Linked DNA regions of Mus musculus: regions 2 and 3 are each reported to be linked to region 1. Evidence: microRNA targets listed by miRTarBase, many of them from high-throughput screens and not tested one by one. Region 1 holds a microRNA gene; each other region holds the end of a gene's coding sequence.
What was found. Region 1 holds the annotated microRNA mmu-miR-105 (CCAAGUGCUCAGAUGCUUGUGGU, at 1,928-1,950, opposite strand). A microRNA usually pairs through its seed, bases 2 to 8, with sites in the 3' UTR of a target mRNA and lowers its output. Matches are read on the target gene's strand: a 7mer-m8 pairs with bases 2 to 8, a 7mer-A1 pairs with bases 2 to 7 and ends in A, and an 8mer does both.

Region 1 (3,000 bases):
ATCTGATCATGCTGCTTAGTTATATAGTTTTGTGATATGTATAAGTTAAAAATTATGCTATAACAAGTAGACATGGAATCATTTTGAAATTAGTAAATCATGGTTCCCTTCAGACTAGGAGAAGATCATACTGATAAAACACATGAGAAACTATTGTTACATGCTTAAGCAGTCATAGTGCATGGGATTTATTTGAGCACTGGACTATGATGCACAGGAAGTCTAGTGGCAAGTTAACATCCATAGAATTGGAACAGATAGAGATGGTACAGGAAAAACACCAGTATGTTAAGGGAGCAGAGGTCCATGTACTAGGAAAAAGCAACCAAAAATATAAACTGATACATAAAACACTGTTTTCCTATAGAGCAGTAGACAGTTAAGATTCCTCTTCAGGAACCATAGGGTATGAGCAGACAAGCATGTTATGTGCTCAGACAACCATGGTGCATGAGTAAAAACCTATATGGATTCTATAATACAAAAGTAGATGTGATACAGGAACAAATAACACGGGAATATGCCAAGATAAACAAGAGATGAGAATAAAGGTAGCATTCATAAGGCCACCAAGACATGGCAATGATGCTAAAGGCAATAACACAACATATATTCATACAATTCTCTGATGATGAAGCATTGCACCAACGTGTATTTCCAGACATTACAAGCAAATAGTTTGACTATAGCTTAAGAGTAGATGGTCAAGTATATTAGGGAAAAATGATTATAGAAGAGCAGAAAATAATCATGTTATGATTAATAGAATACTCCAGATAGCATTGATTCAAAGAGAGTCAGCACTCCATTGCATAAGCTTATGCCACAGTCTTTAAAACTGAAGTGTGGACACTATGCCCCTCCTTAGAATAGGGAACAAAACACCCTGGGAAGGAGTTACAGAGACAAAGTTTGGAGCTGAGATGAAAGGATGGTCCATGTAGAGACTGCCATATCCAGGGATCCACCCCATAATCAGCATCCAAACGCTGACACCATTGCATACACTAGCAAGATTTTGCTGAAAGGACCCAGATGTAGCTGTCTCTTGTGAGACTATGCCGGGGCCTAGAAAACACAGAAGTGGATGCTCACAGTCAGCTAATGGATGGATCACAGGACTCCCAATGGAGGAGCTAGAGAAAGTACCCAAGGAGCTAAAGGGATCTGCAACCCTATAGGCGGAACAACATAATGAACTAACCAGTATCCCGGAGCTCTTGACTCTAACTGCATATGTATCAAAAGATGGCCTAGTCGGCCATCACTGGAAAGAGAGGCCCATTGGACACGCAAACTTTATATGCCCCAGTACAGGGTAACGCCAGGGCCAAAAAGGGGGAGTGGGTGGGTAGGGGAGTGGGGGTGGGTGGGTATGGGGGACTTTTGGTATAGCATTGGAAATGTAAATGAGCTAAATACCTAATAAAAAATGGAAGAAAAAAAAAACACTATTGCAAGTATCATTGTTTTACCATAAAGACATGTACATTAGCTGCAGAACTGAGACTGGCACCCATGACAAGAAATCAAGGAATATCATATCAGCACCACCATTACTGTTGTCACATATACTTCACAACATTCTACTCAGTGTTGGAAATGCAATCATGTATTAATATGTACAGATTTATGAGACATCTTTGGCATTTTGTGGAAATAAAAGAACAGAAATGCAATTTGAGGTATTCAAGACCCCACAGTTAACAATCAATACTTTCAAATTCAAACACAAATATTTTGGCTTCACCGCCCACCGTTTTAAGTACAATAATAAATGACAATATGCTGTGAGTCACCTGACAGACAGCCATGGAACATGGTTTAAAAACAGAGTAATGAATGGCTTTGTTCCAGAAGCAGATGGCAATGTTGTAAAAGTAGGTACCATAGCACATGCTCAAGCATTCGTGGTGCATAAGCAGCCACCACAAGCATCTGAGCACTTGGCTAAAATGCACACACAGAGCATCTTGCAACAGGTGTTAATGCCATGTTACAGGCGAAGACATCAATGACAAAGGAGAGAGAAACTCATATTAGTAGGAAAGCACACAGTGTACAGATTAACATGAAAGGAGCAAAATATTCCATTTCTGAAAAAAACAGACTGTCATTATGTATACAAATCGTATAACAACTTCAAACACGTGACTGAAAATTTTTAGTTATGTAACCATTTTGGATAATGACTCAGTTCACATATGAAAAATGAAATGCATGTGATGCCAAAAATAATAAAATAATAAACTCCATTCAACTTTATTAAAAGAATGAATGCATGCCATTGGTCTAAGAGAATAACTGAATAGTATAGGATGCTTAGATGACTAAAATGTAAGAAAAAGTCTTGGAATATATGTTTCTAATATATAGCCGTACACCTACAGAACACAGGCTACTAATTGTAATACCAGTACATGTCGACAAATTACAGAAATAAACCGTGATGTGATTATTACTCAGACATGGTATGCTAATAAGAAAAGTATATAAGCAATGGATACCTCTGCTTCAAGAGGATGACAATGAAACCAAATCAAGTTACATGAAATCAGGCCATGGCATATGTGGATTTGTGCTTGTTTCTGGTAAAAAAAAAATCAAAGGTATCCCATTATATGAAGAAACAACTATTAGTATTGATAATAGAAACTGTATATGAGCAGTCAGCATAAACTGAGGGATCCTTCCCTGTACAAGATCTACTGGCCACAATATTACAACTAATATTCATACTAATGCAAATCATTCTATATTCCGAAGGAAATCATGAATTTTTTTGTCTTTTATACTTAGGATGGGTTAGTAGTTTCCATCATGTATCTTCAGATAACAATAGTGGTTGATAGTGTACACATATAATAAGCAATCAGATAAACTACAGTAGTGGGTCGAGACAGAAAGATAAGCTCAATTCAACATCCACAAACAAAATAAAGTTTTCAGTCAAGAGAAGAGGTAAACGGTACAAAATGAAACCTTGTGCTAAATGTTCAG
Region 2 (3,355 bases), not on the chromosome of region 1:
CTGGTAACCCTGTGGGAGCCGGGAGCTCTGGCTGCTTTACAATCATACCTCACCCAGAATTTTGCTAGGAAAGATCCAATTTGAACTTGCTTTTGTGTCACTTGAAAGGTTTTTTTTTTTTTTTTAAGTGGCTGTACATTTATTAGTGGTTAGAAATCGCCAGGGAGCATGGATAAGCATCTTGATTCCAGAGGTGTGTGAGGAGGATTCGGTTGTCATGACAACTAGTCATTTCCATGAAATGCCCCTAGTTTACTGAACTATGAGGAGCTTTGATAGAAGCTGTGCTTTCTCTTAAACACTTCTCCTTTTGCTTTATTTCCAGACTTCCAGTCAAAAGCGGCCCCTGGAACTGGAGGTGGAGGGTATGCCGAGCACAAAACGCCTGTCTGTGTGTGGGGCTGTGTTGTGAGCTTTGAATGTGAAAGAAATGTGCTTCCTTCCACGCTCCAATTGTCTTCTCCATCTTGACATCTTTTTTTTATATGTATATATTTTTTAAAAAATATAGCCAGGCAGTTGTGGCCCACTCCTTTAATCCCAGCACTTGGGAGGCAGAGGCAGGCAGATTTCTGAGTTCAAGGCCAGCCTGGTCTACAGAGTGAGTTCCAGGATAGCCAGGACTACACAGAGAAACCCTGTCTTGGAAAAAAAAACAAACAAGAAACAAAACAAAATAGCCTATATGATGGAACAATTGCTTTTCCATCACAGATACACGATTAAAAAACGTGGAAATCTGGGCTGATTGTTTGATGACCTGCACTTTAGATTTCTTTCTTTCTTTCTTTCATTTTAAGAAAAATGTTAGGGGGTGGTGTTGAGAGATTAACACCACTCCTGTTGAGGGCTGCAGTTCAGTTCCCAGCACCCATGTAACTACATTTCTGGATCGGATGCCCTCACCTGGCCTCTCTGGTCACCTACTACACATGTGTTCATGTACACAGAAACACATAATCATTAAAAAGAATATTCTAAAACAATGTTAGTAGTTTGTTGTGGCTTTTCATCTGGATCCTCACATTGCCAGTCTGCCCTATCAGGATGTCACTCTGGTTTTAGGCTCATCCGTCTAAATACAAATTCTAAAAGTCCCTTAGAAGGTCCAAGTCCCACTGGCCATGGTAATCTACACCTATGATCCCAGCACTCTAGAGGCAGGACAATGTTTGAGTTGACTTTGAGGCCTGTCTGATCTTTAGAGCAAATTTTAGGACAGCCAGGGTACACAGAGAAACAATCTCTTTCTCTAAACTTTCTCTTTTATCTTTAAACTCTTTTTTTCTCTGTCTAAACTTTTTCTCTGTCTAAACTCTTTCTCTCTCTCGTTTCTCTATCTCCCAACTTTCTTTTTCTCTCTCTAAACTCTCTAAACTTTCTATTTCTAAACTCTTTTTTTCTATCTCTAAACTTTTTCTCTGTCTAAACACACTCTCTCCCTCTCTCTCCCTCTCTCTTAACTTTTCTTTCTCTTTCTCTAAACTTTTTCTCTTTTCATCTCTAAACTTTTTTCTCTCTCTAAACTTTCTATCTCCAAACTCTCTTTTTCTCTCTAAACTCTTTTTCTCTCTCTAAACATACTCTCTCCCTCTCCTTTTCCCTCTCCCTCTCCCTCTCCCTCTCTCTCTCTCTCTCTCTCTCTCACACACACACACACACACACACACACACACACACACACACACACACACACACTCAGTCCCTTGGAAAGAAAAGGGCATCTGGATGTTGGGTGATTTGTACTGGCTGGCTGCCAAGGAGCCCATGGTGCTGCTGCCTGTTATAGGCCAGTCTGAAATTCATATCCCTTAGGGTTCTCACACTCCTGTAATCCATCCCAGACCTTGAGAAGCAGAAATAGTAAGATATTGACTTTGAGGGCAGCCTGAACTGTATAGTGAGACTTTTGCCTTAAAAAATGGATAAAACACAGAAATTATGCTCAGTCCTGTACAGTTTACATCTCTAAACTCCTGGGGCTACATTAAATTCAGATATTAATATCTCCCCCACCCCCACCCCACCAACAGTTTTAGGCAGGTGATAGAGTGCTGCTTTAAATTGGGTCCTCCAGCCATCCATGTGGTAGACATATAGAGAAGTAAGGGGGGAGATAGAGATGTCTCTCTAGTGGTTAAGAGCATTGGTTGTCATGCTGTCACTGCGGGTCATGTCTGGGTCTGTGGTCATGTAGTAGCAGGGGCCTGTTGATTTCTTGGATCATATTACTACATAGACCATGCAGACCTCCCTGGTCTGGGCTGCTGTGTGGGAGAGACCTCATAGATATCCAAGGGCTGATATCCAGATATCCAGAGCTGGCCCCACCCCTGACTGGCTGCAGCAATCAGGAGAGCAGGCCTTCCACCTTGCAGGAGCAGCACAGAGCTGGCCCCACTGCCATGATGGGACATGGGTGCAGTGGAGATGCCCTCCCCCATCCCTCAACACCTGAGGCAGGTCCTAGGTCATGAGAACAGGCAGGACTTGGGAGAGTGGCCTTGCACCTTGTCTGGGCAACAGCCAGCTCTGAGGGAGTGAGTGGGAGAGCTGGCCCAGCCCCTCACTGCCAGCTGCAGTATTGGGTGAGCTAGCAAGGGCAGTGCTAGAAAGCTTGCCCTGGTGGTGCAGATATGAGAGAGCTGGTGGGCTAGCCATCTGTCTCAGCTACCACCCAGATCCAGCGCTTTGAGTTGTCCCACCCCAAAATCTAATTCATCTATGAGCTGCTGGAGCATGTGCAAGGGCTGGTCCTACAGATCCAAAGCTGCAGGATTTCCATGATCCAGGCCAACAACAGGATAACTAAGAGGAGTCCTGTGAGGATCCAGTATTGATAGTGTTGCAGAAGCAAGAAGACTCAAACCAGACCAGTGACTAAATGCAATGAACATTTGCAAGATGTGTGGACAAGAGGGTAGGTATACTGTAGAACACACCCTGGCACACTATAGTGTCCGTGTCAAAATGCTCTCCATGGGGTGTGTTTGTGGGGAAGTTGCAAGGGAAGAGGGGGATGTGAAGGGACGGGGAGATGAGTGAGATTGGGGTGCAGGTGCATAATGTGAGACTCACAAAAATAAATAAATAAATAAAAAGTTGAAAAGCATTGGCTGCTCCTCCAAGAGCACCTGAGTTCAATTCCCAACATCCTTATGGTACCTCAAAACTGTAGCTAAGCAGCATGGTGGCGGCCCACGCCTTCAATCCTTGCACTTGGAGGCAGCTGCAGGTGGATCTGAGTTTGAGGCTAAGCCTGGTCTACAGAGTGAGTTCCAGGACAGCCAGGACTGAGAAACTCTGTCTCCATAAACCAAACATTAAACCAAAACCAAAAGCAAACTCCATCTTG
Region 3 (3,355 bases), not on the chromosome of region 1:
GCTAAATGCCGTGGGAGCATTTTACTGAAGCCTGGCGGCAAGCCCAGGCTTGGTCCAGCAGCCCAGCTCTGCAGGGCAAGACACTGCTAGAGTCTATACTCCTGCCACTATACCATGCTAAACAATAAAACACCGTAATTATCCCTGTCCTCACCAACTACAATTTTAAAGGAAACTGGTAAATGAAAGGACTCTAAATAGACCCCCATCTTTGGTAACAGAAGTGGCTTTAGAAAAATTATTAGTGCTTACAATTCAGATTATTTTAGTATCTTTGAGAAGATTAGATTACTCTCTAAAGTACTGGCCATTGAGTATTCTCAGAGGTAGAATTTCAGTGAGACAGCACGGGCTTGCTCATTTAGAGCTTAGGTGACACGGCCCCTGCACGTGGCTTTATGTTACTGTTCACTACAAAACATAGCTTTTCGTGATTTCATTTTCCTCCTGAGGACTGAACCCAGGGCCTCTGCGCACGGCAAAGAACCATCTTCCAAATGAGTTAACAACTCTGATCTTTGCCAAGCCAGAGGCAAAGGCAGAAGCTGAAGACTTTTCCCTGGATGGAGAAAGACAGTCAGTTCCGCGTATGTGGAGAAACCATGGTTACACATGTTCATTAAGTCCTAGATTTCCCACACTGCAAAACAGAGGCCCACATAACCTATCTCAGTGGTGTGAGCCCCAAGGCAGACAGAGTTGTCTCAGGACAACTACAAGGCTCTCAGAGAGGACAGGAGACGCTGCAGCTCCAGAAGTGCTGTGACCAAGGTTTCCTCCTGGCAGACACTGTGTCAGTCCTGACCCTAGGAAAGCGCACTCTGCTCACTGAGCACCTTCTCCGTCCATCCCCACTAACATTCTGCTGTGACCAGCAGTGCAGAGAGGCAGGTGGGTGGGGTGTGCAGCCACCGAGATCCCCGCAGTCACTGAAGACTCAAGTAAGATCCTACCCAGGCAAAGGGAAAATCAAGGGAGTTAAAGAATATTTTGGGATTTTTAAGGTACATCAAACTACAGAATACATGCTTGTATTTTCAGAGTGAAAAATAATTTCCACACAAGCTAAACTGTATATACCCTGTTTTAGAGAGTGAAACTGTTTATGTCCTCAAACAGGAAATGACTGAACCAAAATATTCTCATCCCGTCCAACTGGAAATAAACGAGGAATCCAACAAATCAACGAGGGCTGCGGCGCTCTGAGGCCCTCCACAGACCACCAGCTCCAGGCTGGAGCTGCAGAGCCGCTGCCTTGGCTGGTTCTAGGTGCAAAGGTTTCTGAGGTAACCACGGGCAACTCTAAACAGGACCCCTCCCTTTCACGTTCGCCTTGCTCCTGAGAAACAGCATTTCTAAGTTAATAACGGAAGTCAGCAAGTTTTCACTTCAGATTTTTTTTTTTTTTTAGTTAACTGAACAATAAAACAAGCAAATGTTACCTATCAAAAACTACTGCAAAAATTAACTAATAAATAGGTAGACTATGCTTAAATGCTTATTAAATTTATAGGTGGGGCTCAGACAATGCTTCTGAAACCTTGTAGTCTTAGTAAAACACATGTCCACTCAGTTTTAGAAGAGCAAGGCTCTTAAACAGTTATGATGATAATCTATGATAATTCAAGTTAACAATGAAAACCAAACCTCTCCAGGATCCCTTCCAGTGCTGTTTCTTACGGGGTTAAAGAAAACACATACCAAAACAGTATCAGTAAATCACTGTGTGTTTCAGCCCTAATATTTTAAATGAAAGTGTATTAGTATAACTATACCCTGAAAATAGCAAATTGAAGGTTTACATGTGATTTTTCAAAATATCAGAATTAATGATCATAATTTAAATTCTAAATATGGGAACCAAAACAGTAACAAAAATCTCAAACCCAACAATTCTGTTACTTAACTCTTAAAACTGACATCTAAATTTCCAAAATAGCATGATGCTCATGACAGCCAGCCTAGCCACTACAATAACCCATCACACACAGCAACACAGCAGTCTCCACCCACACCCAGGTCAGCATGCCTCTGGGAGCCAGGCATTGCCTGCTAGGAATTATGCTCATTAAATACAGTTAAAGGTAGGTCTGCATGCCTTTAGAAATTCTATATTTTTCTTTTTTATATAAAGTTATAAGGCATTAATAATAGAATGTTAAAACAAATAATTTATAATAAAAATAGATTAAAACTCTCTTTTAAAAATACCTCAAGTGAGAAAAATCACCGGAGGTAAGTAACTACTCATACACGCTGAGTTTGTGCCGAGTGAATACTTTCTGTTCTGGCTTTAAGCAGACCTTAGACACTAAACAGCAGGTATCCTGACACAAAGGCGCACAGCTTAGGCCCATCTCAAGTTACTGGAAATTTACACACGAATGGATAACCACTACTGATAAAGGCAGGTTATTTAAACTATCTGGCATGATTAGTTTTGACTACAAATATAATACTCTCTGATATAGCATGGACTGTTGCTTTTAAAACAAATAACAGCAAAGCTTACAGTGCCGTGGTAAAATGATGGTCAATGACTTGGCTAGCACACAGCTAAAATGAAGAAATTTGTTTAGAATTAAAATACTAATAAGGAGCACAGCTTTATTTTGGTATCAGTTGTTACAACTGAGCAATGGGTTACTATAATGCTTTTTCCCTAAGCGACGAATGGCAGGATGGACAGGGCCTGTGCTGAGGGCTGCTGGCCAGCCTTCTAGAATGCGTATGCGAGCTCTACAGGAGCTGCACAAGCTGGCTGGGTGCTGGTTATCTGCAAAGGCTGCCTGAACACGACTCCCTTCATCATACATGCGCTGCTGTCTGCACTGCAGTAATAAAGAAACACGACGACAGACACCACAGCTTCCAGTGACAAGCAATGGGTAGGAATCTGCAGGGAAATCGCCGGCTGATTGGAAATATTCTCTATGTCTCCAGATGGGGTCTGTTCTTGAAGTAGCCATTCATTGCCTAGAAAACAGGAGAGAATATTAAGACTATAAAAAAAAAAAATACAAGAGGCCGAGGCACAGCGATGGGCAAAGTGTGAGAGACAGAATTCAGACACCTAGAACTCACGTAAGTGCTGGGTCTATGTGACGCCCATCTGAAATCCCCACACGGGAGTTGGGACAGGGAATCCCCACAGCTGTCAAAGTATTCAGAGCAGTGAGCTCGGGGTTACTGAGACATCATTTCTCCGTATTTTAGGTGGAGAGAGATCAAAGAAGACACATGGCATTAACCACATGCATGCTCAAACATGTGAATGTCCATGTATACATACATGTGTGCTCATACATGTGGACACACTCACATGCATAATACATACACATATATTGAAAAGACA

Region 2: miRTarBase lists Chek2 as a target of mmu-miR-105. Seed matches in the 3' UTR shown: 7mer-m8 at 544-550.
Region 3: miRTarBase lists Nhlrc2 as a target of mmu-miR-105. Seed matches in the 3' UTR shown: 7mer-A1 at 2,213-2,219.

What each region holds. Positions count from the first base shown.
Region 1 is chrX:72,589,620-72,592,619 of GRCm38, forward strand. It overlaps Mir105 (microRNA 105), which reads right to left and starts at 1,960; the gene lies at 1,881-1,960. The region is part of intron 1 of Gabra3 (gamma-aminobutyric acid (GABA) A receptor, subunit alpha 3); the gene reads right to left. Mir767 (microRNA 767) reads right to left here and starts at 475; the gene lies at 369-475.
Region 2 is chr5:110,873,155-110,876,509 of GRCm38, forward strand. It overlaps Chek2 (checkpoint kinase 2), which reads left to right. Exons shown (of 15, transcript NM_016681.4): 15 at 326-986. The coding sequence ends at 412. Among named protein-coding and RNA genes, the nearest start is that of Ttc28, 5.0 kb to the right of the region's middle.
Region 3 is chr19:56,596,877-56,600,231 of GRCm38, reverse strand. It overlaps Nhlrc2 (NHL repeat containing 2), which reads right to left. Exons shown (of 11, transcript NM_025811.3): 11 at 1,386-2,976. The coding sequence ends at 2,720. Among named protein-coding and RNA genes, the nearest start is that of Nhlrc2, 50 kb to the right of the region's middle.